Linked DNA regions of Anolis sagrei. The protein of the gene in region 1 purifies or fractionates together with the protein of each later gene. This does not show direct contact. Links are inferred from orthologs where the notes say so. Each region holds a gene or a part of one and is shown in the gene's direction. Other genes may lie near its edges.

The links.
Region 2: the proteins of USP4 (region 1) and EDC3 purify together in Homo sapiens (co-immunoprecipitation; 3 studies listed by BioGRID and IntAct, with this or other methods). This does not show direct contact. The link is inferred for Anolis sagrei from reciprocal best matches to the Homo sapiens genes USP4 and EDC3.

What each region holds. Positions count from the first base shown.
Region 1 is NC_090022.1:75,208,606-75,224,869, forward strand, and holds the start of USP4 (ubiquitin carboxyl-terminal hydrolase 4), read left to right. Parts: upstream 1-9,832; 5' UTR 9,833-9,928; coding exon 9,929-10,188; intron 10,189-10,521; coding exon 10,522-10,649; intron 10,650-12,152; coding exon 12,153-12,283; intron 12,284-13,117; coding exon 13,118-13,244; intron 13,245-14,288; coding exon 14,289-14,434; intron 14,435-14,786; coding exon 14,787-14,848; intron 14,849-16,244; coding exon 16,245-16,264.
Region 2 is NC_090029.1:21,431,604-21,447,936, forward strand, and holds the start of EDC3 (enhancer of mRNA-decapping protein 3), read left to right. Parts: upstream 1-10,458; 5' UTR 10,459-10,496; coding exon 10,497-10,560; intron 10,561-15,738; coding exon 15,739-15,916; intron 15,917-16,333. Other genes in the region: cytochrome P450 1A5-like, read left to right, coding at 2,207-2,495. UniProt on the Homo sapiens protein: Binds single-stranded RNA. Involved in the process of mRNA degradation and in the positive regulation of mRNA decapping. May play a role in spermiogenesis and oogenesis.

The sequences.
Region 1 (16,264 bases):
GAGAGAATCAGCCATCTACAAAGACGTTGCCCAGGGGACACCCAGATTACAAGATCTGTCTTTGTTGAGTTCCAGGGTCAGAAAAGCAGATGGTCAAAACAGAAGAACAGCCTGCCCTGGGAGTGTGCTTGCTCCATCATTGTTTAACATTTACACAAATAATCAGCCACTGTCAGAAGGGACAGGGAGGTTCATCTATGCTGAAAATTGTGCCATCACCACCCAAGCAGGCAGCTTTGAAAGGGTTGAACAGAAGCTTTCTGAAGCTTTAGGTGCTCTTACTGCCTATTGCAGAGAAAACCAGCTGATTCCTTATCCATCTAAAATGCAGACATCTGTTTTCTATCTTAAGAACAGACAAGCATCCTGAGCTGTGAGGATTACCTGAGAATGAATCCCAGTGGAACATTACAGCAAACCCAAATACCTGGGAGTTACCATAGACCATGCTCTGACCGAAGCGCTGCTTGAATATCAAGCAAAAAATGGGTGCAAAAAATGAAAGCTGACTGGCACAACCTGGGAATCACAACCAGAGATAGTGAAGACATCTGCCCTTGCGCTTTGCTGCTGTTGCTGAATACGCATGACCAGTGTGAAACACATCTCACCATGTTAAAAACAGTGGATGTGGCTCTTAATGAGCTATGCTGCATTATCACAGGATGTCTACGCCCCACATCACTGAAGAAATTACAGTATATTCTGGCGTATAAGACTACTTTTTAACCCAAGAAAATCTTCTCAAAAGTCAGGGGTCGTCTTATACGCGGGTGTAGTCTTATGCATGGGAGTCGTCTTAACTCTATATTTTAACTGGAAAAGTTGGGGGTCGTCTTATATGCCCAGTCGCCTTATATGCCGGAATATACGGTATACTGTTTAGCCAGAATTGCATCACCTGGCATCCACCAGGAAGTAGCAGCCAATAATTAAAGGACTGAGCCAGTGACATCTCCAGCCCATCCCCTGTTCAGATATCAGGCAGCATGGCAACACCTTAAATCAAGAAATAGCTTTCTAAGATCTACAAAGAAAATCTCAGGAACGCCTCAGCAAGCAAGAGTCCAAAAGTGGCAGGCTAAAACCCAAAACCTCAATCCATGACTGATACCAAATGAGAGATTCCCTCCTGGGCACACAGAAGACTGGGTGACTTGGAGGGTGCTGAACATACTGTGCTGTGGCACCTTAAGAAATGGGGCCACAGTCCACGACATGTGAGTGTGGAGAAGAGCAAACCACAAACCGCCTATTACAATACAGTCTGAGCTCTGCCACATGCACAATGGAGGACCTCCTTACAGTGACACCAGAGGCACTCCAAGTGGCCAGCTTCTGGTCAAAGGATATTTAGTATCATGCCATGTTTTTAACTTTGTTTGCATTTTCAAATACATTACAACTGTACCCTCAATTAGCTTCTGACACAATAAAATAAATAGGTGATTCAACCACCTGTTTATAAGGCCCCTTCCACACTGCTATATAAACCAGATTTATTTTATTTTGTGTCAAAAGCATTGCATAAAATAGTTTATCTAAAAGTTATAAAATAAAGGGATCACAAGGTGTTAGATTGTTTTAGACTAAATTGCCTGATTTTACTACCCACAGGAATATTCTTGCTGTTGCTGGAGGAACATTTTACTTACTTCCTTTACTTGGGCGATCCCTCGTTGGCTGAGTAGGATAGTCTTCCAGGATCAGTATTCTTGTGGGTCTGTAAGTGGCTGTGGAGCCCTATTCTTGACCTGCATCTTCTTCCACAGTGAGGGCATTGGTTTCCAGGTGGAAGGCGGTCTCAGTTGGTGTTGGCTTGACGCGCCTTCCTCTTGGCACGTTTCTCTTTTTTGCCCTCCATTCCTGCCTCTTCAAATTCTGCAGCACTGCTGGTCACAGCTGACCTCCAGCTGAAGCACTCAGGAACATTTAGAGGAGTGGTGGTTATCATGAAACTTTCCCTTGATTTAAGTCTCCTGGGAGGAGGCTGATAGCCATGCAGTGGGTGGCTTTCACAGTGTTCAACCTTATTTCTCTTGCAAGTGGCAGCAACTTCTTGTCACACATCCGCGCCGGGGGGGGGGGGGGGGGCAATGCCAGCTAGTTTATAGTCTTATCAACAGGTGCAGGTTGCAAACATCCTGTGAGTGTTCTTCGTGTCTCATTCAGTGATATTCACCCACTTTGCATGGGCAGATTTATGCCAGACGGGGCAGGCATGCTGAGCAGTTGCGTCCAGCCCGAAAGCATTGCTTTACAACATAATTCAGATTCTCAAAGTGGATACTCCACATTATCCACTTTGAACCGGATTATATGAGTTTACACTACCATAAAATCCATTTCAAAGCAGATAATATGGATTTTATATGGCAGGGTAGAAGGGGCACAGGATTAGAGAAGTCTGGAAGGCACAGAAGGCGCTCTATTAAAAAGGGCATGGTGCCACTGAAGCACATCACCAACTTTTGTTCTTTCTTTCGGCCGAAAAAAGGAAGGGCTCATTGGGGAGTGGCATCTTCATCTTTGCCAACCGCCTTAATGCCGTAATGTGGCAAAAGAGATGAGATTGTGTTTCTCAGAAGGCGTGTTTGAGGTAAATTGTACTTTGCTCCTAAAAGCAGGGTTCAATGAAACCAAGGGAGAGAAAACACGAGCTTTAAGTAATGGCCAAATTGCACGGTCTCCAGTGTAATGGTCGGGAAGCAACAAAGGCGCCCCTTGAGGGAAGTTAGAGTCGCGCATGCGCAGGACTCTCTCAACTCAATACGGCCAGGTTGCAAAAAGTGCCGCCGGCTACAAGGTCAAGGAGAGTGGGCGGAGCTTGTGCGTTAGTGGGCGGGGCTTGTATGGTGCTATAAAAGGCAGGCCCGCGCTTGGCTGCTTGCATTTGCTGCGTGGTTCGTACAAGCGCTGTAGTGATGGCTGGTCTGTCTGTGCGTGGTTTGTCGGGGCTGATGGCGCGACCGCTGGGAGCGAAGGAGTCCGTGGACTTAGGCTCCTTCGCGGGGCAGGTGGTGCTGGTCTCCAACGTGGCCTCCCTCTGAGGCACCACCACCCGGGACTACACGCAGTTCTCGGAGCTCCAGCGGCGCTTCGGGCCCCGAGGGTTCGTCGTGCTCGCTTTCCCCTGCAACCAGTTCGGCCACCAGGTGAGTTCGGCTCTTCGAACAGTTGAATGAGTGGGAAGAGGCGGGCCGTGCGCCCCTCCTGGCGGAACCCAGTACTGCAGGGATACCCACGCTCTGGCGCTGCTTCTAACTGGCATGGCTCAAATGCCAAAGGCGCCTGGGAGTTGTGGTTTTGCAAGGTCTTTAGCCTTCTTTGCCAGAGAGGGCTGGTGCCAGGCATCCCTTACTGGAAAGCTGGGAAGCTCCTCCTTTTATATAATATCTGAAAGAGATGCCAAACCCCCTTTCTTTATATGGGCAGGCACAGCTTTGGGTGCAGTTACACCAGGCCTGGGCAAACTTGGGCCCTCCAGGTGTTTTGGACTTCAACTCCCACAATTCCTCACAGCCTCAGGCCCCTTCCTTTGCCCCCTCAGCCGCTTAAGGAAGGGGCCTGAGGCTGTGAGGAATTGTGGGAGTTGAAGTCCAAAACACCTGGAGGGCCCAAAGTTTGCCCATTCCGGATCTAGAGAGATGCATCCTGTCATTTTATTTTATTTTGCAGACAAATGCATAGCTAGTTGAATCACTCATTTGGAATTTACCAAGCACAAACAGCATGTTGATACAGGTGCCAGCATCCTTCAGCCAAAATTTTGAAATAAGCCACAATCCCTAGATAGTGACACCCTTGCTTTCAGCTGACTCAGTGCACACAAACTTTTCTCTCATGGACAAAATTAGATTTAAAATGATGCATAAATTACCGTTAGGCATATATGGAATATAATAAACTTTCTGATTAGATTTGGGTCCCAACACCAAAATGTACATAAGTATCAGCAAAAAAACATTTCTGGTCCCAAGCATTTCAGATAAGAGGTGCTCTGCCTGTAGCTGCTTTCTGGTTGCTCTTGATAGCGCTTTTCTGAACGTTACCCAACATACCATGAATTTCAACTGTCTCTTATTGCAGTTTTGAAAACATGATATTTCTAGCACTTTTGGTAAAAGTTACTCAGTTTCCTAGGTTCTCGCATCATTAGTTTGTCAAATGAGTTGAAGGGAAATCTGGCTATAATTCAGGTTCTAGAAACAGGATTGTTTTTGCGACTTTCCACACTTTCTCAAGCCATCCGCATGCTCTTCTTCCAGCTCTCTCAGGGCCCTTCCACATCTAACCCAGAACATCAAGGCCAAAAATCCCACAATATCTGCTTTGAACTGGGTTATCTAAGTCCACACTGCCATAGATTCCAGACTTGGAAAATCAAGCTTTTATATGTTCTAGCAGTGGGTTTATCTATCAAGGTGTCTTTGATGCTGAATAGGGATGGAGCTGGTGGTTGGGGTCCTTTTAGCAAACACAAAGAGGAATATATATATTTTTAAAAAGGGATAAACTCAGATGTCCACCCTCGGTTGTGGATACCTAGTTATTCTGGAAGGACAAAGCATGGCAGACTGTTTTAAGACCAGTTGCATAAAACCATCCAAATATAGTACATGTTATTCAACATTACCCACTGAAGTCCTTCCATGATGTGTGGGTCAGTAAGAAATGTTTCAATTTAGGTATGTTGTTTCTATTGATAGAAAAGGTGAGCCAAGCCCTTTTAATGCATTAGCTACTGCAAGATTTAAGGAAAAGGGAGTATTGCAGCCTCTTTAAAACTAACAGAACAATGTCAATATAAACAACCAATAATTATACTCCACTTCCACAGATGCTCTTAAATACAGATGCCAATCACATCCTCCACCCCCCCCCCCCCACAGCATAGGACCTAAGGTGGTTTATAGCAAATAGCAAAACCCTCTAGTACAAAACTTAAAAATTATTGGTACAAAGATTAGGCACTTAATTAAATTAAGATTGAGCTAAATATAATAAAAGTACAATGTGCCTCATTAAAGCTTCCCTTCTGTCACATGAGTTAAGAGCCAAAGACCTTCTTAAATAAAAAGGCCCTTGCTTGCTAGCAGAAGAAAACAACTGAACTGGAACCACGCTAACCACAAGTTTGGGTGGGAGGGGGTCACAACCTTGGAGCAGTTGCCAAGAAATCTCACTAAATGTATCTGTGATAGTGGTGAGACTGAGAAAAATCCACTTTAAACACATCATGCAGGGAAGGAAATGAAGTACCAGAATCCTGCATGCAACAACATGATTTAACAACTTGAAGCAGTTACATTTTGACTAGGCTGGAAAGCTGCAGAAGAAAAACTTGAGGTGAAATGTACCCTTTACTTTGGACAGGGTCAATTCACATGTTTTCCTTGGAAGGCTGTATGACCCCCTCAGTTGAAAGAGCTTGGATCAGATTATTATTGCATATACTCATGTATAGGTCAATGTCATGTATACGTTGAGGGCAGGTCTTGGGGCCAAAACTATGGATTTTGATATGACAGGTGGATAAGTTGAGGGTCATTCTGCAGAGAGAAGAAAGCACCAATGTAGCCTCAGTGGCCAGCCACCTCTGTTAAAAACAGCACCATGATGGAGAGAGCAGAGAGGGTTAGTAGCGCTTTAGGTTCTCCCAGAGCAGGCTAAGGTCCTTTAGAAGGAAGCTCAAGACTTGGCTGTGGGACCTTGCGTTTGACCATTGAATAGCGGCTTGTATGAAGAAGACATAAGCAGTTTTGAAGTGATAATGAATTCACCCGGACCCGGATTTTAATTGGCATGTTTTAACAACTGTTTAATGTTTTGTTTGAATGAATTTGTTGATTGTTTTTATCATTATGATGGCACCGAATGTTGTTTGTTGTGAGGCTGCCCCGAGTCCCCCCTCAGGGGTGAGAAGGGCAGGGTACAAGTATAAGAAATAAATAAATAAGGTGTTACCTTTTGCCACTCTGCTCAGAGCAGGAATTGTTCTTTTTCTGAGAGAGTTAAAGTAGAGCACTCATATTAACCTGTAGATAGGCCTGCCCAGGTTTGGGTCTGAGTTTTTGTCAAATTCTGTATTTATTATTCAGTATATAGCTTACTCCTAGGAAAGGATTCATCTAGTATGCTTTCTGCAGCATCTCCCCAATATACTTATGATCAATTGGGCAATATGTTATGGGTTTTTCCTGTATTGGAGGATGCAGATAACTGTTCCCTAAATGTAGTTCCGTTTTCAAACTGTAGTTTCTGTTAGAAACCGAAAACTTCAAGTTAGTGCTGTGGCAATAAAATCTTATGAAATCTTTTTTATGCTGCAATAGGTTACATTTTTTAAAAATTTGAAAATTCCATAATTTCAATGGCAAGTAGAAAAGCTGGCATATCAGTCCATTGGAATGTATATAAGAATATATTTTGGCTATATTTCATCTAACTACTAGTGACAAAGTTTGGAGGGAAGCAAAGGATTAAATGCTATTTGCTGAGCTGTGGATTTAAGATTGTGTCCCCTCTATCCTTTAACAGGAGAATACCACCAATGAGGAGATCCTGAACTCACTGAAGTATGTCCGCCCAGGCAATGGGTATGAGCCTAACTTCATTGTGTTTGAGAAGTGTGAGGTCAATGGGGAAAATGCTCACCCACTCTTCAAATTCCTGAAAGAAGAATTGCCATACCCACATGATGACGCTGTGTCTCTGATGACACACCCACAGAACATCATCTGGTCTCCTGTGTGCCGCAATGACATCGCATGGAATTTTGAAAAATTCCTCATTGGTCCGGATGGGAAACCATTCAAACGCTACAGCAGGCGCTTTGAAACCATCAAGATCCAGGATGATATTGAAAAGCTGCTTCAACAAGTTCCTTAGAGCAAACCATATTATATCTTGCTGAAATGTCTTTCCACCTCTTTGCTTTCAGCTAGAATTACCCTAGGGTTGAATGTATTAATTCCCATGTTACAGTACATTTATTGTATGTCCCATATTAAACACAGCAATCTCATTGTGTGAAGGGAAATTATGTATGTGAATTACAACAGCAAAGCTTTTCTGAAATTGAGCAGTTTGTTTTTATGCTATAATGTGAATTGTACCTTTAGCTATTTCCTCTCACCTATAAGGCATAAGGTGACACTTATGTCTTGTGGTTTCTAAATGTGCTATAAAGTTAATAGGTACCCATTACAGCATAGTATCTCTGCTAAGTCTATCAATCTTTTGTTCATCCCTAGTCCGCATACACATTAAACATTCCAGATATGTGTTTCAAATATTACAGTTTAGTATCAACACAATGTGCTGTAGCATGTATGGCTTAAAATCATACTTTGTGAAGCAGCAATACTCCTGAGTACCAGACTTTGTCCTTTTCTGCACTGCTTATTTTTCTATGACTTGTCAGCTGTTTTCTTGATATTAATTTTCTATTCTCTATCAAAATTTTATTCATGATGGTGCTTTTTCTAAAGCCTTGAAAAGCACCTGATCTTCTAAAAGTTTGTGTGAAGCTATAGTAAATTAAATTGGGAAAACAGTTGACTGCAGCAGTTTGTGAAAATCATTGTCAAACAATAAAATGCTTGAAAACCATAGCTATAACTGAGCTATTTGTATTGCAACACAAATTCACTTATTTGTTCCAGTTTTTGTTCAGATAATGCATGATGAGGACACTTTACTACTATATTTACAATGATCTCAGAGTCTGCAGTCTACATTATTATTCACTTCTGTCTTGATCAAATTGGTTAGTTAAGTTTTTTAAAAAACAACAAAAACACCCCATCTTGAATATCTTACTACCTTTTCCAAGATGCCCTAAGAGCTAGAGTCTTTCACCTCCAACAGCACAATATATTGAACAGTTAAAATGAAATAGCCCTCCTTGAAGTTAGAATATAAAAGCCAAACTAGATCAGAGGAGTGGGTAGCATATACAGAGTAACATTGTCATCTGCTTCAATTTCCATACTCAACTGAAACAAATTTGCCTAAAGCCCTCCCTTTCAGTTTTGGAAACCCAAAGCTGAAAGGACAGAGCAGAGAGCTTTCCTGACTGTACAACACATTACATAGATGGGGAAATCTCTGTAGGAAGACTCACCTAGCATATATCCTCTGAGCTTTTCAGAACTAAATACATTTGCCTTTTTATATATTTGTAAAACTGGTGACACTTCTGGAGTTGAAATTTGTGGAGATTTATTCAGGTGTTATGCCTCTTTTATATGCCATTGTTTTAGTATAAGCTGCTAGTTATTAAATACCCCAAACCAGTAAATTCTAAACCTAGCTTGCTTATTACTGTGACATGATGACAGGTGAGCAATGAGAGCCAGAAGCTATGGCTTAAATATAAGCTTAATACAAATGGAAGGAGAGCTGGTATCTCACATAGAGTTCTACTATATTTATGGGGAAAAATAAGAGGTCTCTTACACACAGCTGAATAAAATTCCACATTTTCTGCTTTGAACTGGAATATATGGCAATATGGACTCAGATAACTCAATTCAAAGGAGACATTGTGGGATTTTCTGCCTTGATATTCTGGGTTATATAACTGTGGAAGGGGCCTAAGAAACAGGATACTTCAACCAGTCATAAAACTAACAATAGTGCCAAACAGACTGTTCTCACAACAATTCACTTACTAGCTATTGCCTGACTCTTAGTTGCAAGACTGCTGAACAAAAGGTCAGTGGTTCAAATCTGGGGAGAAGGGTGGGCTCCTGTCTATCAGCTCCAGCTTCCTGTGTGGGGACATGAGAGAAGTCTCCCACAGGATGGTAAAACATCTGGGCATCCCCTGGGCAACATCCTTGCAGACGGCCAATTCTCTCACACCAGAAGCAACTTCCAGTTTCTCAACCTCTGAGGATGCCTGCCATAGACGCAGGCGAAGCATCAGGAGACAATGCTTCTGGAAAATGGCCAGCAACCCAGTTTCACATCCCAGTTACATGATTCTGATCACAGTCCAGTTTAAGAGACTCTTTTAAAAAGTTTTTCAAGGGTGCATCTACACCAGGGGTCCTCAAACTAAGGCCCAGAGGCCGGATGTGGCCCTCCAAGGTCATTTACCCGGCCCTTGCTCAGGATCAACCTAAGTCTGAAACTACTTGAAAGGACACAACAACAATCGTATCTCATCAGCCAAAACTAGGCCCACACTTCCCATTGAAATACTAATAAGTTTATATTTGTTAAAATTGTTCTTCATCTTAATTATTGTATTGTTTTAAGTGTCTTTTGCACTACAGATAAGATATGTGCACTGTGCATATGAATTTATGGGTTTTTTTTTCAAATTATAATCCGGCCCTCCAACAGTTTGAGGGACTGTGACCCAGCCCTCTGTTTAAAAAGTTTGAGGACTCCTGATCTACACTGTCGCTCAGGTATGGACAAATCTGGGTCCTCCAGATGTTTTGGACTCCAACTCCCACCATTCCTTACAGCCTCAGGTCCCTTCCTTTTTCCCATTCAGTCGCTTAAGCAAAAGGAAGGAGGCTTGAGGCTGTTAGGAATGGTGGGAGTTGGAGTCCAAAACCCCTGAAGGGAGGGCCCAAGTTTGCCCAGGCCTGCTGTAGAATAAATGCAGTTTGGCACCACTTTAATTGCCATGGCTCCATGCTGTGGAATCAAGGGAGGTGCTGTTCTACAAGGTCTTCAGCCTCCTCAGGCAAATTGTGTGGGTGCCTCACCAAACTACAGCTCCCAGGATTCCAGCGCATGAAGCCATGTCAGTGAAAGAGCTGCCAAACCGCACCCACTCTTCGGTGCAGATGGACCCGGGCGGGCACCCTCGTCGTTGCCCTCTTCGCGCAAGGCCAGGCTGAATCCGGGTCTCTCGGGCGGCCTGCCGTTCTCATCCGCCAGGGCCTGGGCGTCGAGGTCGCGCATGCGCAGTGCCGCCCTTGGGCGTGCGACGGGCGAAGAAGGCGAGCCGCAGTTGAGAAGAGAGGAGAGGAGAACTGGCCGGCCGGCAGCAGCAGCGCGCGCAACCGTCATGGCGGCCGCCGAAGCAGGGTTCGAGGGCGGCGGCGGTGGCGGCGGCGGCGGCGGCGGAGGAGCCACGGCCAGCCCGAGGCCGGACGCGGGGACGCAGCGGGCTGAGCTCACGCCGCTTTTGGGGACGCCGCTGTGCCCGGGGGAGTCCTGGTGAGGAGGAGGAGGGCTGGCTCGGGGCTAGGCCGCGCGCCTCCCCCCCTTCCCCGCGGGGGCCGTTGGCCTCCGAATGGCCACGCGCGCGGCCGGAGGGAGGGGGCTGGGCAGGAGGGAGCAGTGCGCGCGGGACGGCGGCCCTGAAGGACCTTTCTTCTTTCCTCCTGCCTCCCTCCCTCCCTAGCCGGCTGCCCCGAAGGGGTGCTGCTGAGTCACCGCCCCGTCGACCCTTAGCAATGCCTTCCCGTCCTTCCTTCCTTCCCTCTCTCCTGAATCTTGGGCCGCCCCACGCACACTCACCTCGGTGCATTTTTCGTTTCATAATTGTAGGTACCTGATTGACAGCCGGTGGTTCAAGCAGTGGAAGAAGTACGTGGGCTTTGACAGCTGGGACCTGTATAATGTGGGGGAGCCTAATCTCTACCCAGGACCCATTGACAACTCAGGGCTTTTTGCAGGTAAACATGGTTGGGGGGAAATAAAAAGGGTTGGGGAGGGTAGGTTGTGTGGGTTTGGCAAGGGCGAATATATCTGGAGGCTTTATGCCCTCATATTCCAGCCTCTTCTAGGCGTGTTTTCCTAATTCTGAAGTAATATTTGGACCTCCCTTGTAATAAACTCTTGGTTGTGGAAGTTATAATTGGTTTCTAGCAAGTGTTGCAATCCAAACTGCTTTTGAATTCGAGAGGAGAGATTCCACCCTTAAATTAGTGTCTCAACAATTGCTTCTCACACCCTTACTGCCATTTGTTTGCTCACCTTCCATTCCTTCACTTAGTGCTGATTGTGAGGGTTTTTTTTTCTTACATAAAAACAGAAAGAGAACTAAAGAAGACATATGCTGGTGGCAGATATGATCACAGCCCCTTCATAAGTTGGTATATTTAGTGGGCCGTTGAACTTCAGATGTTTAGACATATGTGTTTTGCAATCTTTGGATGTCTCAATCAGTTCCTTCTTAGAGCTTTAGTTCTCAATCAGTTTTCTAACATTGATGCAAGGATCAGGTTTGTGATATGCTGAACTTGGTAAAGTGACGCACTTAAAATCTAAATATCTTTTCATTTGCTGCCCCCCTTAGTATTCTGAAGATCCTTGGGCTTGGATTTCAGTGTTGCTCCTCCTTTCAGGGAACTTCCAGGGAAAAGTGAAAGGGAAACTAGAGTCAGCTGGAAATAATATTTGAACAGGCCTTCAATAGGTTTAAGATGACACATTTTACAGAAAGTTGTGACTGTCATGAATTTGGCAGAAAGCAGTACTAAATTACTTGTTTTCTTTAGAAACTCTCTATATCAAGGGTGGGGGAAGTTTGCCCTGAGGACCAATCTGTGTACGTGGAGAGGGGGCAGTCATCTGACTCTTCTTTCTCCTAGAAATCATGCTTTTCTTCTATGTGCAAAAAGAAGTAGAAACTGGCTTCATAAATTGGTAATACCAAGGCTTTATTTCACATTCCATTGAGATCAGTGACAACAGCAGGATTCTCCCTGGCCTGCAGCTTGTTTTCCCAGTTGGAATGGCAAACTGCCTGTGGGAGAATCACTCCAAAACAAGTAGCAGAACTTAGGAGAGGAACATTACTTGTAGGCTGAGTCTAGTGGGTCAGTTTGGTCCTATAGGCTGGAAGATCATGTCCATTGCTGCATACCATTATGAAAAAAATAGTATGTGTCCTTTAGTTTTATAAATTCTTATTTGCTTTATCTTCCAGTTCTGTGCGGTACAATTTTAGGAAGCCTTCAATATCACACAGTTTGAAAATGTATTTGAATAGATTAGATGTTTTATTTTTTGAACACAAGGTAATGGTTTCTGAGTAACACTCCACATGGGCATGACTATTTGAATTGCCTGTGAAGATTTTCAAAGGTATCTGTTTGGCTGCTGCTTTGAAGGATGGCTGTGTGTTGAATTGTTTGCTCATTTTTCTGAGTGTAACTTATTCCATTTCCTTTTAGATTCAGAAACTCAGACTTTGAAAGAGCACCTTATTGATGAATTGGATTATGTGTTGGTTCCTACTGAAGCCTGGAATAAGTTAGTAAATTGGTATGGCTGTATAGAGGGACAGAAGCCAATTGTGAGGAAAGTAAGTGTTTGTGATCCTAGTATGATTTCTGGTGCAATCTGTCTGTATGTGGTTCAGAAATAAATCCCATTGAGTTCTGTTTTCAAAAATTCCTGTCTAACTGTGTGCATTTCTCTCTGATCAAGAAACAGACATGTCTGCATTGACTTTCCTTCACTTTTCTGACTTTTATATAGGACTAGAAGAGTCTAGTCTTGGGAGTTGTTGCTCAGTTGTAATTCTAACCAGCTGTGTTCTGCCTTTCCCACCTGTACATATCTATCACTGTCCTGGCAGCTTCCTACACTTTTCTTGTAATGTTATTGCCATTCAATTGGTCACATATTGGTCACAACTCCTCCACCTGTCCTCCTGAAAATTTTCAGGGATTAAAAAAAATGCTGGAGCATCTTAACTTTGTAAGTGTTTGTGCAACTTGGCCACAAAACACAAGGATTCTGTGGCACCTTTTCTAAAAATACAAACTTCTTTAATTTAAATCCCTTGTATCTGTCTGAAATTTGCAAAGTGTTGTACATTTTTCAGGGTTCCACTCTTTATAATGTCCTGGGAAGATATCTGAGAGCAAGAAAAAGAGGCAGCTGTCCCTCCCCAGTAGATATGTATGGCTAAAGACTACTGGGAACTGAACATGCAGTTTTATAGAATCTTTGCTTAGATAAATAAAATGACTGACAATGTGTTTATAAATGAGTGGATTTGAGCAAGAATAATTTGCTACAGATTTTATATCCATTAAAAATGTGATAGAAGTGAAAATGAAGGGCTGGTTTCATAAAATATTTTGCTGTCTAGATGTTTGTACCTGTCTCACAAAAAGTTTTTTCTTCTTAGGTTGTGGAGTATGGATTGTTTGTGAAGCACTGTAAAGTAGAGGTTTATCTTTTGGAGTTGAAGCTATGTCAAAACAACGACTCTACTAATCTTGTAAGCTCTTATTTCAGCAAAGCAGATACTGTGGGTGAGTCATTCTTAATGCCACAAGTCCTCTTTCAACACTTCTACATGCCTTATAATAATTTTTTAGAAAACTATACAGAGCAGGAATAGTTTGCTATTTTCTGGGGGTGCCTTGTAGTATTCTTTACATTCTGTTGAAAATAGCTAATTTCCTGTAAAATGGTAAATGCTGTTTGTCTGATATACATATATCATTGCAAAGTAATGTGCTGCTATATTTCAGTTCTTATCTTTTGACCTTAGCTACTGCTAGTGGCTATTTTGAACTTCAGATGTTCTTCTTGCATTAAAAAAATTCTGCTTGGAGAGTAATATAGATTGAGTATCTTTTATCCAAAATGCCTGGGACCAGATTTTGATATATCTGAGTAATGGCGGGAATCCAAGTTTAGTGCTTGATGCAAATCCACACCTCCACCATTATACAGATAGTTTGCATATTATCACTCCAATCTTTGGTCTCATTCATTTGCTACTTGTGCTGTGTATGGGGTGTGTGACTGGACTGATGATAAAAGTGAAGTGACATTTGGGGAACTGGGAGTACAGTTCTGTACAAGAGATCTCTGAGCAGCCTACCAGCTGCCCACTTCCACCTTTCAAAAAACAGGCAGGAGTGCAGCAACTACCATCTGCAAGAAAGCAGGACACTGATATAAGAAAGTTTTAGATTTTGGAACATTATGGGTTTTAGGATTAGGAAAAAACTAATAGGTTTATTTTGAAGGGAAAAAGAGATTTCTTATGTTTAGAATGAGAATATACAAATAGTTTATGCCGTGAAATTTAAATTCAAAACTTTCTAAATTTAAATATATGTTCCAATCTTCAATTTATGATCCCAGGACCCAGGATTATTAGATTAATATAAAACCATTCTACATATGTTAGACCAGTAATAATAGTGCAAAGTAATTCAGATGAATGTGAACTTTTAAAATGTATTTTGTGCCAGCAAGAAAGTGTGGGAAAGGATTGCATTTTTAATAACCCATTATTAGCAGCTGCTAAAAATACATGGTGTGAGTTTTTTTTTTCTCTTCAGCTACCATTGAAAAAGAAATGAGGAAACAGTTTAATATTCCTGATGGAAAAGAAATTAGATTATGGAGCAGATATATGAGTAATACCTATGAACAACTAAGCAAACTTGACAGCACTATACAAGATGCAGGTCTCTATCAGGGACAGGTAAGAAATCTAAATACTTTTATTGTTGTATCCTAAAATGTTTTGGTGGTGATGATGGAATTTTTGGTATCTTGTATCAATTCTAGTACTACCCTTGTAAACTATCAGTATTGATTGCACTTTTTAAAAAAAGTGATTTGAATGCAGATTTAGTTAGACCCTTAAAATTATTGGTGTTAACATTTGTCACTGAAATCAGTTTGGCAGTGACTCCTCTATCTCTATTGAGCTACTTGTAGGCGGTTAGAAACTGTTTTCGCTTAGTTCTTTCTTAAGAAAGCATTAATTTGTTTGTTTTTTGTACATTCTCCTAAAAATCACAACACTGTTATTTTTTATTTTTCATTTCTAGGTAGTATTAATAGAGATAAAGAATGAAGATGGCAGTTGGCCAAGACAATCTTCACAGACAAAGTAAACATTTCTTCTTTTCACTTTCGATACAATTGCTCAGTGAAGAATTGGCTCTGGGAGATATCATTATTCAACCTGGCATTGTTCTGACTTATTTTTCATTTTTTTCCCAACTGTGTTTTCATTGTATTTTGTTTTGTTTCGGTGTTTCGGTGTTTAATTATTTAAGACTCTTAAGTCTGAGGAATATAATTTGGGCAAAAAACTAGTACACAAAGTGGGCTCCCTTTTAAGTTTTATTTTATGTAGCCTTAAATAATTGAATTATACTTCTACATTACAGGAACAATATTTTTTCTTTAGATGCAGTGAAATGCTCAGCAATTTCTTCAAAGGAAAGGGCTGTTTATTCTAAACACTACTTCATTCTTAACTGAGCCTGTTCCCAAGTCATTTTCAACCACTTGAGCTATATATTATAACTAGGTGAATCAACTTTGTTTGGTTGTGCATTTTTATAAAAATCACTGTTAGATTCTTCAAAATGTCGTAAAAGAGTTAGATAATTAATTTTAAGGTAGTGTCTAAAGCTGCTTCATTTTGTTGTCGTTGTCTTTTTCTTCTTTGCTGCTCCTGCTGTAAACACAGTGTGGCAATGTTGGGATTGCTTCAGAGTTTAAAAGAAATTAATCAAGCTATTCCTTAACTTTTGGGAGTTTTTTGCAGTGTTATTTGTTTCTGAACTTGCTACAAACTAACATTCTGCCTTGGTTACTGTACTGGGAGAAAGGCAGGCTATAAATTAAACCAATAACTGTTAAAAGACACTAACTTAAAAGCTCTGGCGCAGTGTCCAGCTGACAAGTGTCTTTTTTCCTTTAGAATGGTGGTGTACATTGAAAAGACTGGTGTTATGAACCTCTACTTGGGGGACTTCATTGTTAAACTGTACCTAGGAATCAATTGCAAATTATCGGAAATAATACTTGCTATCTTTTATGCCAGTTTAAAAATGCACGTGAGCCAGTAGATGCATGTCACTACTGAGAAGAGAAACTATACTTTTGGGAGAAGCAAGAGGTTTAAATTAATGAGTTTCAGTACCTGGTACAAGCATAGGGTTTCTAAGCTGTGATTCAGCAATCTTTTAGTTGGAAGTGGCATTTTACAGAGTCCTTTATCATATCTGAAACTGGCTACTGTATTCAAGGCTTTGGCAATTAAATGTGGTTGTTATTTTCACTGTAGAAAAATTTCACACAGAATGAATGAAACTGAATCCCTAGTACTTGTCCTGTATAATTGAAAATGCTCCACTTTATCTGGTACCTCAGTCTTTCTGTCTTACTCTGTTGGAAATCCAGAAATACCCAATAGGTTAAATTACTATTCTGGAAAAATAACAAACACACACAAAGAATCTGGAAAGTATGACAGCTTCTTCTTTTTTTCCCAGATCAAGCACTGCAACAAGCA
Region 2 (16,333 bases), on another chromosome or scaffold:
ATCACAATAATAATAATAATAATAATAATAATAATAATAATAATAATAATTCTGACATGTGATCCAATACAACAGCCAGTCTGTTGTGGACTCATCTTGTTGTAATAATAATAATAATAATAATAATAATAATAATAATAATAACAACAACAATAATAATAACAACAACAACCAGAGCTGACAGCTGGCACAACAAAGCATGGCATGGGAGGTTCCTTGAGAAGATTGAAGGAAAAATTTACAAGGAGAAGACCTGGTGATGGCTCATGAATGGAACCCTGAAGGAGACAGAAGAAGGCCTGATTCTTGCAGCCCAGAAGCAAGCCATCAGAACCAAGGCCATTAAGGCCAAGATTGAAAAATCAGTGGATGACCCAAAATGCAGACTGTGCAAGGAAGCAGATGAAACCATGGACCATCTCCTCAGCTGTTGCAAGAAAATCGCACAGACGGATTACAAACAGAGGCACAACTCTGTGGCCCAGATGATTCACTGGAACTTATGTCACAAGGACAACCTGCCAAGAGTCAAGAACTGGTAAAGGGATCATAAACCTACAAAGGTCGTGGAAAATGAACATGCAAAAATACTGTGGGACTTTCGAATCCAGACTGACAAAGTTTTGGAACACAATACACCAGACATCACGATTGTAGAAAAGAAAAAAGTCTGGCTGATTGATGTTGCCATACCGGATGACAAGTCGCATTGAGGAAAAACAACAGGAAAAACTCAGCCGCTATCAAGACCTCAAAATCGAACTGCAAAGGCTCTGATGGCATCAACCAATCCAGGTGGTCCCAGTGGTCATCAGCACACTGGGTGCCATGCCAAAAGATCTCAAGCAGCATTTGGAAACAATAAACATGGACAAAATCACGATCTGTCAACTTCAAAAGGCCACCTGACTTGGATCTGCGCGCATCATTAGAAAAGACATCACACAGTCCTAGACGCTTGGGAAGGGTTCAACTTGTGATTTTGTGATACGAAATCCAGCATAGAGATCTCGTTTGCTGTGACATACAGTGCTTTTGTGTCAATAATAATAATAATAATGTTTATTATTTCGAAATGCCAGCTCTTTTGGCACGGCACCCAGTGTGCCGATGACCACTGGGACCACCTGTACTGGTTTATGCCAGGGCCTTTGCATAAACATTGACAAAATCACGGCCTGTCAACTGCAAAAGGCCACCTGACTTGGATCTGTGTGCATCAAGGGGTCCCTGTGGTGATTGGCACACTGGCTGCAGTGCCTCAAGACCTTGGCCTGCACTTAAACACAATCAGCGCTGACAAAATTACCATCTGTCAGTTGCAGAAGGCCACCTTACTGGGATCTGCACACATTATTTGCCGATACATCACACAGTCCTAAACACTTGGGAAGGGTCCGACATGTGATCCAATACAACAGCCAGCAGAGTGATCTTGTCTGCTGTGGACTCATCTTGTTGTGTTTTAAATAATAATAACTATCCCTTACTGGGATCCCAGATCCCAGTAAAGTGGCCTTCTGCAGCTGGCAGATGGTGATTTTGTCAGTGCTGATTGTGTTTAAGTGCAGGCCAAGGTCTTTAGGCACTGCACCCAGTGTGCCGATCACCACTGGGACCCCTTGACTGGCTTGTGCCAGAGTCTTTGCAATTTGATCGTTAAATCCTCATGTCATGTCAGCTTTTCCAGTTGTTTCTCTGCAATCCTGCTTTCACCTGGGATTGCGACATCGACGATCCATACTTTGTTTTTTAACACGATAGTGAGGTCAGGAGTATTATGCTCCAAAACTCTGTCTGTATGAATCCAGAAGTCCCAGAATAGCTTGACGTGTTCATTCTCTGTAACTTTTTCCAGCTTGTGATCCCAACAGTTCTTTGTCGCAGGCAGATTGTATTTGTGGCACAAGTTCCAATGGATCATCTGAGCAACGGTGTTGTGCCTCTGCTTGTAGTCTGTCTGCACAATCTTCTTGTTTTTATTATTATTATTATTATTATTATTATTATTATTATTATTTCTTACCTGCCTTTCCTTGTGGCTCAAGTTGGAAGTTACTGGAAGACACAGAACATTACGATTTAAAATGAGTGCAGGATGATTAAGATGATTGCGATGATGATTTTATTCATTTATTTCCCATCTTTTCCTCAATAATGGCACTCGAAAGTGACTGGCGACTGTGTTGTCCCCCTTTTTTCCCAGGAAACTTTGGAAAGACCCTTCTGTTTTCAACCCAGGGCGCTTTCTGGCTGCAAACGGGTCCAGAATAAACCGAACCGAGAGCGAGAAGATCCTGACCTTCGGCTTAGGGAGAAGGAGGTGCCTCGGGGAAAACATCGGCAGATGCGAGATCTTTCTCTTCTTAACCACTTTGGTCCAGAAGCTGGAGTTCAGCATACACCCCGGGAAAGAGGTGGATTTCACTCCTCAGTATGGACTCAGCATGAAGTTCAAGAGGTGTGAGCACTTCCAGATCAAGACCCGTTTCTAAAAGTAGACATTGGCAGACATCGGGCTGGGAACGGGGAGGCCATCATTTACCTTGGAGTGAACGGGTTGCCTGGGGCAAGCTGAGGCATTCAGTGCAAAGACTAACACGACATCACATCATTTGCAGTTGCAATACAAAGTGGAACTCTGATGTGGTGAACCATTGCAGATACACATAAAGTTACTTTGAATAATTGGAAGCAGAGGTTGGGAAGCCTCTTGTTGCTTATACGGACAAGACTTTGAGCTCAAGTTTGTCTAGAACGCATGGATTGAGGATTTCAACTTTGGCGTATGGGTTTCGCCTTAAGATGGTTGATAAGCAAGCACCTAGGTGCCCAAAACATTTGTTGAAGCTTCAACGGTGCCTTATGGATATAGATGAGGTGTCCTAGCAGCCAACATTATTCAGCAATTGATCATGAGATTGGTGGTGGGCCGAAGCTTGCCCATGCCTGAATTAACCCCTTCGAAGAGACACGGACACAGATACATTATAATAACACAATGTATGAGGATAAAACATCTCTCATGAAAACCTTCCATCACACACACACACACACACACACACCTATATAAATAAAAAGGTAATGTTTGTTTGTGGGATTAACATAACTCTAAAACCACTGGACGAATTGACACCAAATTTGGACACAAGACACCTATCAACCAACGAGTGACCACTACTCATAAAACACCGAAAACACAACAGAAGAGACTGAAAAAGCAAAAAAAACCCAAAAAAAATATTACAACGCATGCGCAAAACCATATACACACACACACACACACACATGCACAGACACACATATATACACACAAAAAACACATATACACAGGCTGGGCCACAGCAACACGTGGCAAGGGATGGCTAGTGTGTGTGTGTGTGTGTGTATATATATATATATAATGTTCGTTTGTGGGATTAACATAACTCAAAAACTACTGGGCGAATTGACATCAAATTTGGACACAATACATCTATTAGGCCAGCGAGTGACCATCCCTTATAAAAACATTGAAAAACACAACAGAAGAGACTTAAAAAGCCAAAAATAAAAATACATTACGATGCATGCGCAAAACCACATATATACACACAGAAAACACTTATACACAGACTGGGCCACAGCAACGAGTGGCAGGGGACAGCTAGTGGTAAATAAAATGAGGAAATGGGAGGTTTAAATAAAATTAATCAAATATTCATTTAACTTTTTCCAACGGGGCTCAGGTTCTGCTTTCTTTTTTATAGAAAGAGAAGAACGTGGCTTCATTTTATGTTATCCTTTGTCTCATTTTCACTATGCTTTGATGTGCTTTTAAACTCTTTTAATCCAATGTTCAGTTTTTACAAAAGAGATAATTTAAAAAATGATTTTTTGGTGTTATCATTAGCTTGTATATATAAATGTATTGTTCGTTTGTGGGGTTAACGAACTAAAAAACCTCTTGACGAATTGACACCAAATTTGGACACAATACACCGATCAGGCCAACAAGTGACCATCACTCATACAAACACTGAAAAACACAGCAAAAGAAACTTCAAAAGCCAAAAAACAAAACTTACAACGCATGCGCAAAACCACACACACACACATCCACACACACATATATATGCAAACAGACTTATACACATATACACACATATTCCCACCGACCCCTGCTTACAGGAATAATGGGCTCTGTTATATGGCCCAATGATATCTGGAGTGCTTTATATAGTTTCGACGCTCTTTCCCTTTTGAAATCCTTCCTCAAATGCTATTGTCATTGCCAAGAATTTTGATGCAATTGTTTTGATATATCTCTCCTATTGCTGTCTGTCTATAGATATACACAGGTCTTGCTTATACGGGCCGGCGAAATGTTGGATAAGCAGAAAAGTTGGATAATAAGGAGGGATTAAGGAAAAGCCTATTGAACGTCAAATTACGTTATGATTAGGTTGTTGTAGGTTTTTTCGGACTATATGGCCATGGTCTGGAGGCATTCTCTCCTGACGTTTCACCTGCATCTATGGCAAGCATCCTCAGAGGTACTGAGGTGTTTTGGAACTAGGAAAAGGGGTTTATATATCTGTGGAATGACCAAGGTGGGACAAAGGACCCTTGCCTGCTGGAGCTAGGTGTGAATGTTTCAACTGATCACCTTGATTAGCATATAATTGCCTGACAGTGCCTAGAGCAAACTTTCAGGCCATTATATGCTAATCAAGGTGATGCAGGCGAAACATCAGGAGGGAGTGCCTCCAGACCATGGCCATATAGCCCAAAAAAACCTACAACAACCCAGTGATTCCGGCCATGAAAGCCTTCGACAATACGTTATGATTACATTATAATTTTACAAACTGAGCACCAAAACATCCTGGTTTACAACAAATCAACAGAAAAAGCAGTTCAGTACATGGCAACATTATGTAGAAATTGTGGTATTTACCAATTTAGTACCAAAACACACAATAATGTCCCACCCTGGACATTATTCCGGGTGGAAGGTAGACTGCGTTGGATAAGACAAAACGTTGGATGAGCAAAGGTTGGATAAGCAAGACACTTCTATGTATGTGTGTGTATGTATGTGTATATATATATATAATCAGCCTCCATGAAGCCAGAGTTATATGTAAGGCATTATGAATATTGTTGAGATATTAATAAAAAGTATTAAGTCCCCCTAGGGGTGAGAAAAGCGGTATATAAATGCTGTAAATAAAATAAATAAAAATTGCTTTCTATCTTACTGAGGACTCATGTTTACATTTGTGATAAAGCATGTCTCGTTAAGAGCCACATCCACATTCAATATTAACATCAAGTCAATACAGAGTTTATCCGATGGTATAGTATTAGGTCTATTTTATAAGCAACTCTCAAGCAACCAGAAACAATATTTGTCCAGTCTCCACCACAGATGCCGGTTAACTGAGAGCCTGCTGTATTTCTATGGCTGCAGCAGTCCATGATGCTTTAAAAATAAAAGGACAATATCACCATAATATATAATATAAATCAAAATATATACATAATATAAAATAAACATAAAATAAAGCATATAATATAAACATAAAATAAAACATAATAATATATAATATATAATATATTTATTTATTTATTTATTTACTATATTTATATGCCCAAAGGGGTGAGAAGGGCAGCACATAAATGTCATAAATAAATAAATAAATAAATATTTATATTATATATTATTATGGTTTATTTTATGTTTATATTACAATATATATAATGTTTTATTTTATGTTTATATTATATAAAATATAAATAAATAAAGATGTATAGTAGAGCAGCTTACAAGATACATATACATACAATATATTAGCATAGCACAGTATCAATATTATATATTACTACATTGTACTATACCATTATATTGTAATATTATTAGTAATTTTACATGTAATATAAAATATAATAATGTATTATTATTATATTGTATTGTATTGTATAATAAATAGTATATGTATATACAATATATTATATTATTAGTAAAGCACTTTAATATAATTATAATTAATAATTATTAGTATTATATTGTATTACATTATAATATTATAAATATTATATGTATACACAATATATTATATATTATTATTAATAATGCACTTTAATATAATTATAATTAGTAATTATTAGTATTATATTGTATTACATTATCATATTATAAAATATGTATATACAATATATTACATTATTAGTAAAGCACTTTAATATAATTATAATTAGTAATTATTAGTATTATATTGTATTACATTATATTATAAAATTATATGTATATACAATATATTACATTATTAGTAAAGCACTTTAATATAATTATAATTAGTAATTATTAGTATTATATTGTATTACATTATATTATAAATATTATATGCATATCCAGTATATTATATTATTAGTAAAGCACTTTAATATAATTATAATTAATAATTATTAATATTATATTGTATTACATTATAATATTATAAACATTATATGTATATACAATATATTACATTATTAGTAAAGCACTTTAATATAATTATAATATATAATATAACTAATATTAGTACTGTATTGTATTACATTATAATATTATAAATATTATATATATATATATATATATAATATTTATAATATTATAATGTAATACAATACAGTACTAATATTAGTTATATTATATATTATAATTATATTAAAGTGCTTTACTAATAATGTAATATATTGTATATACATATAATGTTTATAATATTATAATGTAATACAATATAATATTAATAATTATTAATTATAATTATATTAAAGTGCTTTAATATTATATATATATATATATATATCTCCAGCAAAGGATCACCGCCTTGTCGGGGCGCTGGAGCTTGAGCACCTCAATGATGTCATGAGTGAAACCGTGAAGGGCCACCCAAGACGGGACGGTCGTGGCAGAGAGGTCAGACCAAGCGTGATCCCTGGGGAAGGCAACGGCAAACCACCCCAGTATCCTTGCCAAGAAAACTAAATGGACCAGTACAACCAGAGATATGTCGGTATGCCATTGGAAGATGGGACTCCCAGGTCGGAAGATGGCCAAAATGCTACTGGGGAGGAGCAGAGGATAAGTTCAAGTAGCCCCAGATGTGATGACGCAGCTAGCTCAAAGCCGAAAGGAAGGCTAGCGGCCGACGGTACTGGAGGTGAACGACGAATCCGATGCTCTAAAGATCAACACACCATAGGAACCTGGAATGTAAGATCTATGAGCCAGGGCAAATTGGATGTTGTTATTGGTGAGATGTCAAGACTAAAGATAGACATTCTGGGGGTCAGCGAACTGAAATGGACTGGAATGGGCCACTTCACATCAGATGACCACCAGATCTACTACTGCGGACAAGAGGAACATCGAAGAAATGGAGTAGCCTTCATAATTAATAAGAAATTCGCTAAAGCGGTGCTTGGATACAACCCAAAAAATGACAGAATGATCTCAATTCGAGTGCAAGGAAAGCCTTTCAACATCACAGTGATCCAAATATACGCCCCAACCACAGCTGCTGAAGAAGCAGAAGTAGATCAGTTCTATGAGGATCTGCAGGAACTACTGGATAATACACCAAAAAGAGACATTATTTTCATTACAGGAGACTGGAATGCCAAGGTGGGAAGTCAAATGACAACAGGGATCACAGGCAAGCATGGTCTGGGAGAACAAAATGAAGCGGGACGCAGGTTGATAGAATTTTGCCAGGAAAACTCGCTGTGTATAACAAATACTCTCTTCCAACAACCTAAAAGACGGCTTTATACATGGACCTCACCAGATGGTCAACACCGAAATCAGATTGACTACATCCTTTGCAGTCAAAGGTGGCGGACATCCATCCAGTCGGTGAAAACAAGACCTGGGGCTGACTGTAGCTCAGATCACGAACTTCTTATTGCCCAATTTAGAATAAAACTAAAGAGTTCAGGGAAAATACACAGACCAGTTAGATATGATCTCACTAACATTCCTAGCGAATATACAGTGGAAGTGAAGAACAGATTTGAAGGACTAGATTTAGTAAACAGAGTCCCAGAAGAACTATGGACAGAAGTCCGCAACATTGTTCAGGAGGCAGCAACAAAGTACGTTCCAAAGAAAAAGAAAACCAAGAAGGCAAAATGGTTGTCTGCTGAGACACTGGAAGTAGCCCAAGAAAGGAGGAAAGCAAAAGGAAACAGTGAAAAGGGGAGATATGCCCAGTTAAATGCGCAATTCCAGAGGTTAGCCAGAAGAGATAAGGAACTATTTTTAAATAAGCAGTGCATGGAAGTGGAAGAAGACAACAGAATAGGAAGGACAAGAGACCTCTTCCAGAAAATTAGAAACATTGGAGGTAAATTTCAGGCAAAAATTGGTATGATAAGAAACAAAGATGGCAGGGACCTAACAGAAGCTGAAGAGATCAAGAGAAGGTGGCGAGACTATACAGAAGATCTGTATAGGAAGGATAACAATATCGAGGATAGCTTTGACGGTGTGGTGAATGAATTAGAACCAGACATCCTGAGGAGTGAGGTTGAATGGGCCTTAAGAAGCATTGCTAACAACAAGGCAGCAGGAGACGACGGGATCCCAGCTGAACTGTTTAAAATCTTAAAAGATGATGCTGTCAAGGTGATGCATGCCATTTGCCAGCAAATATGGAAAACACAAGAATGGCCATCAGACTGGAAAAAATCAACTTATATCCCCATACCAAAAAAGGGAAATGCGAAAGACTGCTCAAACTTCCGTACAGTGGCCCTTATTTCTCATGCCAGTAAGGTAATGCTCAAGATCCTGCAAGGAAGACTCCAGCAATACATGGAGCGAGAGTTGCCAGATGTTCAAGCTGGGTTTAGAAAAGGCAGAGGAACCAGAGACCAGATTGCCAATATCCGCTGGATAATGGAGAAAGGCAGGGAGTTTCAGAAAAACATCTACTTCTGCTTCATTGACTATTCTAAAGCCTTTGACTGTGTGGATCATAATAAATTGTGGCAAGTTCTTAGTGGGATGGGCATACCAAGCCACCTTGTCTCTCTCCTGAGGAATCTGTACAAGGACCAAGTAGCAACAGTCAGAACTGACCACGGAACAACAGACTGGTTCAAGATTGGGAAAGGCGTACGGCAAGGCTGCATCCTCTCACCCAACCTTTTTAACTTGTATGCAGAACACATCATGCGATGTGCGGGGCTGGATGAATGCAAAGCTGGGGTGAAAATTGCTGGAAGAAACATTAACAACCTCAGATATGCAGATGACACCACTCTGATGGCCGAAAGCGAGGAGGAGCTGAGGAGCCTTCTAATCAAGGTGAAAGAAGAAAGCGCAAAAGCCGGGTTGCAGCTAAACGTCAAAAAAACCAAGATTATGGCAACAAGAATGATTGACAACTGGAAAATAGAGGGAGAAACCGTGGAGGCCGTGACAGACTTTGTATTTCTAGGTGCAAAGATTACTGCAGATGCAGACTGTAGCCAGGAAATCAGAAGACGCTTACTTCTTGGGAGGAGAGCAATGTTCAGTCTCGATAAAATAGTGAAGAGTAGAGACATCAGACTGGCAACAAAGATCCGCCTAGTCAAAGCCATGGTATTCCCTGTAGTAACCTACGGATGTGAGAGCTGGACCTTAGGGAAGGCTGAGCGAAGGAAGATCGATGCTTTTGAGCTGTGGTGTTGGAGGAAAGTGCTGAGAGTCCCTTGGACTGCGAGAAGATCCAACCAGTCCATCCTCCAGGAAATCAAGCCCGACTGCTCACTGGAGGGAAAGATACTAGAGACAAAGTTGAAGTACTTTGGCCACATCATGAGGAGACAGGAAAGCCTAGAGAAGACAATGATGCTGGGGAAAGTGGAAGGCAAAAGGAAGAGGGGCCGACCAAGGGCAAGATGGATGGATGGCATCCTTGAAGTGACTGGACTGACCTTGAGGGAGCTGGGGGTGGTAACGGCCGACAGGGAGATCTGGCGTAGGCTGGTCCATGAGGTCACGAAGAGTCGGAGACGACTGAACGAATGAACAACAACAACAACAATATATATATATACACACACACAATCTATTATATTGTATTATTAGTAAAGCACTATAATATAATTATAATTAGTAATTAATAACTGGTAATCATGATCGATCATGATGATTGGCCCTCGACTCCGGAACTTTTCAAGGTGTTTCAGATCAATTCAGGAGTTGCTGTGGTTGTAGAGAGACTATTACTCCTCTAACACCAAGAAGGAAGCGTTGAACTCCAACCCCCATGATGCCACACCATGGGTCGCAACGGCTGGGGCTGATGGGAGTTGTAGTCCAATAGTCAGCCGCTTCCAGGGGCCGAGCAGGCTTTCTGCGCATGCGTGCTGCGAGTGGCACCTTCGCCTCTGGAGAAGGAAAGGCGTGCCGTGTCCTTTCTGCGCCTGCGTGAGCGCTGAGAGAAGGAGAAGCGGAAGTGACGCAGAAGAGCGGGGCAATGGCTTGTCGCTTCCGGTGTGAAGACGCTGTGAGGAAAAGCGGAGGGAGAAGCGAGTCAGTGAGTGAGTGAGCCGCTTTTGGGCCTGCTCGGCGCCTTATCCCCGGCCTAGAGTAGGGAGCAGGCCGAGGGAGGGCTTGGGGGCCTTCTCTTCCCTTCTGGGAGCCTTTGGGGCGGGGAGGAGGCCTCCCTTCCCCCGGGAAGGACCGCCCGGGGTCTCCTCGGCCTCGCCCCAGCCGGACCAGGCCTTTCGTTGTGAAAGGAAGGAGATTGAGTGACCTCCCCTGCCTCCCCCATTTAGCCAAAAGTTTGCAAACTTTTGGCTAAATGGGGGAGGCAATATATATTATTTTATTTATTTATTTCTCGTGTCAGAGCAGCCAGTCTATTATATTACATTTCTAACAGAACAAAGCAAACAAACAGAAAAATACACAACTTGTGAGTTTGGTAGTTGGTTAAATGTCCTTGGACCAGTATCTGGTCACTTGGAGTGCTTCTGGTGTTGCCACAAGAAGGTCCTCCATTGTGCATGTGGCAGGGCTCAGGTTGCATTGCAGCAGGTGGTCAGTGGTTTGCTCCTCTCTGCACTCGCATGTCGAGGATTCCACTTTGTAGCCCCATTTCTTAAGGTTGGCTCTGCATCTCGTGGTGCCAGAGCGCGGTCTGTTCAATGCCTTCCAAGTCGCCCAGTCTTCTGTGTGCCCGGGGGGGGGGGGGGGGTCTCTCATTTGGTATCAGCAATTGGTTGAAGTGCTGGGTTTGAGCCTGCCACTTTTGGACTCTCGATTGCTGAGGTGTTCCAGCGAGTGTCTCTGTAGATCTAAGAAAACTATGTCTAGATTTAAGTCGTTGGCGTGCTGGCTGATACCCAAACAAGGGATGAGCTGGAGATGTCTCTGCCTTGGTCCTTTCACTATTGGCTGCTACTTCCCGGCAGATGTCAGGTGGTGCAATACCGGCTAAGCAGTGCAATTTCTCCAGGGGTGTGGGGCGCAGACACCCCTTGATAATGTGGCATGTCTCATTAAGAGCCACATCCACTGTTTTAGCGTGGTGAGATGTGTTCCACACTGGGTATGCATACTCAGCAGCAGAGTAGCACAGCGCAAGACCAGCATGCAAGCAAGCAATATATAATATAATAATGTAATATTACAATCTTATAAATGTATTATATATAATAATAATAATAATAATAATAATAATGAACTACGGACAATGCAAACTTTTGGCTAAATGGGGGAGGCAATATATAATATAATAATGTAATATTACAATCTTATAAATGTATTATATATATATATATATATAATGAACTACGAACAATGCAAACTTTTGGCTAAATGGGAGAGGCAATATATAATATAATAAAGTAATATTACAATCTTATAAATGTATTTTATATTTATATATATATATAATGAACTACGGACAATGCAAACTTTTGGCTAAATGGGGGAGGCAATATATAATATAATAATGTAATATTACAATCTTATAAATGTATTATATATATATATATAAGACATTTATAAGAATGTAATATTACATTATTATATTATATATTTATAATGATATAAAATATTATTATATTAGTATTATATATTTATAATAATATAATATATTATTATATTGTTGTTGTTCATTCGTTCAGTCGTCTCCGACTCTTCGTGACCTCACGGACAAGCCCACGCCAGAGCTCCCTGTCGGCTGTCACCACCCCCAGCTCCTTCAAGGTCAGTCCAGTCTCTTCAAGGATGCCATCCATCCATCTTGCCCTTGGTCGGCCCCTCTTTCTTTTTCCTTCCACTTTCCCCAGCATCATTGTCTTCTCTAGGCTTTGCTGTCTCCTCATGATGTGGCCAAAGTACTTCAGCTTTGTCTCTAGTATCCTTCCCTCCAATGAGCAGTCTGGCTTTATTTCCTGGAGGATGGACTAGTTGGATCTTCTCGCAGTCCAAGGCACTCTCAGAACTTTCCTCCAACACCACAGTTCAAAAGCATCAATCTTCCTTCGCTCAGCCTTCCCTAAGGTCCAGCTCTCACATCCATAGGTTACTACAGGGAATACCATGGCTTTGACTAGGCGGATCTTTGTTGCCAGTCTGATGTCTCTACTCTTTACTATTTTATCGAGACTGGACATTGCTCTCCTCCCAAGAAGTAAGCGTCTTCTGATTTCCTGGCCACAGTCTGCATCTGCAGTCATCTTTGCACCTAGAAATACAAAGTCTGTCACGGCCTCCACATTTTCTCCCTCTATTTTCCAGTTGTCAATCATTCTTGTTGCCATGATCTTGGTTTTTTTTACGTTTAGCTGCAACCCAGCTTTTGCGCTTTCTTCTTTCACCTTGATTAGAAGGCTCCTCAGCTCCTCATCGCTTTCGGCCATCAGAGTGGTGTCATCTGCATATCTGAGGTTGTTAATGTTTCTTCCAGCAATTTTCACTCCAGCTTTGCATTCATCAAGCCCCGCACACCGCATGATATTATATTAGTATTATATATTTATAATAATTATAATATTATTATAAGGCTCTGGCATCAACCTGTCCAGGTGGTCCCAGTAGTCATTGGCTCATTGGGTGCCGTGCCCAAAGATCTCAGCCGGCATTTGGAAACAATAAACATTGCCAAAATCATGATCTGTCGACTGCTACTTACTTAGGTGATCCCTCGTAGTCTGAGGATGATGGTCCTCCAAGATCGGTGTCCTGGCGTTGTGTCCATAGGTGACTGTGGAGACTATTCTTGACCTGCATCTTCTCCCGCAGTGAGGGCATTGGTTTCCAGGTGGAAGGCAGTCCCGGTCGGGGTTGGCTTGACATGACTTCCTCTTGGCACGTTTCCCTCCTTCGCCCTCCATTCGTGCCTCTTCAGATTCTCCAGCACTGCTGGTCACATCTGACCTCCAGCTGAACCGCTCAAGGGCCAGGGCTTCCCAGTTCTCAGTGTCTATGCCAGGTTGGCTTTGAGCCCGTATTTCAATCTCTTTTCCTGCCCGCCAGCATTCCGTTTTCCGTTCTTGAGTTCGGAGTAGAGCAACTGCTTTGGGAGACGGTGGTCAGGCATCCGGACAACGTGGCCGGTCCAGCGGAGTTGATGGTGGAGGAGCATTGCTTCAGTGCTGGTGGTCTTGGCTTCATCCAGCAGGCTGACATTTATCCGCTTGTCTTCCCATGAGATTTGTAGGATTTTCCGGAGGCAGCACTGATGGAATCGTTCCAGGAGTTGCATGTGACGTCTGTAGACAGTCCACGTTTCGCAGGCAGATAGCAGGGTTGGGAGGAGAATAGCTTTGTAAACAAGCACCTTGGTATCCCTACGGATGTCCCAGTCCTCAAACACTCTCTGCTTCATTTGGAAGAATGCTGCACTCTCAGAGCTCAGGCGGTGTTGTATTTCATTCTCAATGTTGATGTTTGTAGACAGTCCACGTCTCGCAGGCGTACAGCAGGGTTGGGAGGACAATGGCTTTATAAACAAGCCCCTTGGTCTACAGATGTCCCGGTCCTCAAACACTCTCTGCTTCATTCGGAAAAACCGCTGCACTCGCAGAGCTCAGGCGGTGTTGTATTTCAGTCTCAATGTTGATGTTTGTAGACAGTCCACATCTTGCAGGCATATAGCAGGGTTGGGAAGACAATGGCTTTATAAACAAGCCCCTTGGTCTACAGATGTCCCGGTCCTCAAACACTCTCTGCTTCATTCGGAAAAACTGCTGCACTCTCTGAGCTCAGGCGGTGTTGTATTGACTTTTGTGGAGAGGTGACTGCCAAGGAAGCAGAAATGGTCCACATTTTCTAATTATATTAATATTATATATTAATATATAAACATTATATATTTATAATAATTATAATATTATTATAAGGCTCTGGCATAAACCAGTCCAGGTGGTCCCAGTGATAATAATGGGCACACTGGGTGCCATGCCAAAATATCTCAGCCGGCATTTGGAAGCAATAAACATTGACAAAATCACGATCTGTCAACTGCAAAAGGCCGTCTGACTTGGATCTGCGCGCATCATTCGAAAATACATCACACAGTCCTAGACACTTGGGAAGGGTTCGACTTGTGATTTTTTGTGATACAAAATCCAGCATAGAGATCTTTTTTGCTGTGACATACTGTGCTTTTGTGTCAGTAAAGTAATAATAATAATAGTCATTAGTGCAAACATTAGTTCCTCCCGGCTGTTAGGAATGGAGAGAGCTGAAGTCCTAAACACCCGGAGGGAGGGCCCAAGTTTGCCCAGGCCTGCATTAGTGTGTCTATGGAGGCCAGGCATAGCCATTAATCCAAAGGTTGTATTGCCATTATTATTATAGCATATAATATTATAACATAATAACTATAATAAACCCCTGAACATGAGCAAGAACTTCCTGACTGTGAGAGCTATTCAGCAGTGGAACTCCCTGCCCCGGAGTGTGGTGGAGGCTCCTTCTTTGGAAGAGTTAAAACAGAGGCTGGGTGGCCATCTGTCAGGGGTGCTTTGAATGCAATTTTCCTGCTTCTTGGCAGAATGGGGTTGGACTTGATGGTCCACGAGGTCTCTTCCAACCCTATGATTCTACTATTATTATTATTTAAACCTGGAATTTAAAAGGAAAAATCTGTTGGTGAAAGCCTCACTCATTTAGCCCAAAAGTTTTATTGTCATTATTATAATTATTAATGTTGTTGTGGTTATTATTATCATTTAAACCTGGCATTGAAAAGGGAAAATGGGTTGTTGATAGTGTCCCCCATTGAGCCCAAAGGTTTTATTGCCATCATCATCATCATTATTTAAACCTGGCATTGAAAAAGAAAAATGGGTTGGTGGTAGCGTCCCCCATTGAGCCCAAAGGTTTTATTGCCATTATTATTATTATTATTATTATTGTTATTATTTAAACCTGGCATTTAAAAGGACAGTGGGTTGGTGATAGTGTCCCCTATTTATCCCAAAGGTGGTGGTGGTGGTTGTTATTATTATTATTATTTAAACCTGAGATTTAAAAGGAAAAATGGGTCGATTATAGCCTTATCCATTTATCCCATGCCTTTCTAATATTATTATTTTCATTATTATTTCCTAATAATCATACTGTGTTTTTCCAATTTTACTGGGGTCCTACACTCCTAACCCAAGCAAATGTGGAGGATGGTCTGTAGAGTGCTGTGGGGCTATCACAATACATGAAGTTTTTTAGTGTCCCATTCCATTGACAGCATTTTTTTCTTACAGTGATCAAGGAAGCTATGGCTGCAGATTGGCTTGGAAGTGTTGTCTCCATCAACTGCGGAGAAAGCCTGGGCGTCTATCAAGGAAGAGTGTCTGCTGTGGATCAAGTCAGCCAAACCATCTCCTTAACACGGCCTTTCCATAATGGAGTGAAGTGCTTGGTACCCGAAGTCACCTTCAGGTAAATGCTCCTTCTGCCTCCTTCCTTAAGCCTTTGACAGGGAAACTTCTTCTAGTGCAGCATTTTTCTGCATGAAGCAGAGAGTGTTTGAGGATCGTGATGTTCGTAGGGATACCAAGGTTTTTGTCCTCTCAACCCTGTTATACACCTGCGAAACATGGGCCATCTACAGGCGTCACACTTAACTTCTGGAACGATTCCATCAGCGTTTCCTCCAAAAAATCCTGCAAATCTCTTGGGAAGACAGACAGACAAACGTCAGCATGCTGGAAGAAGCAAAGACTATGAGCATAGAAGCGATGATCTTCCGCCATCAACTCTGCTGAACTGGCTCCATTGTCCAAATGCCCTGTCATTGTCTCCCAAAGCATTAGCTACTTTGAGAACTGTTTGTGTGTAATGATTGCCACAATGGTA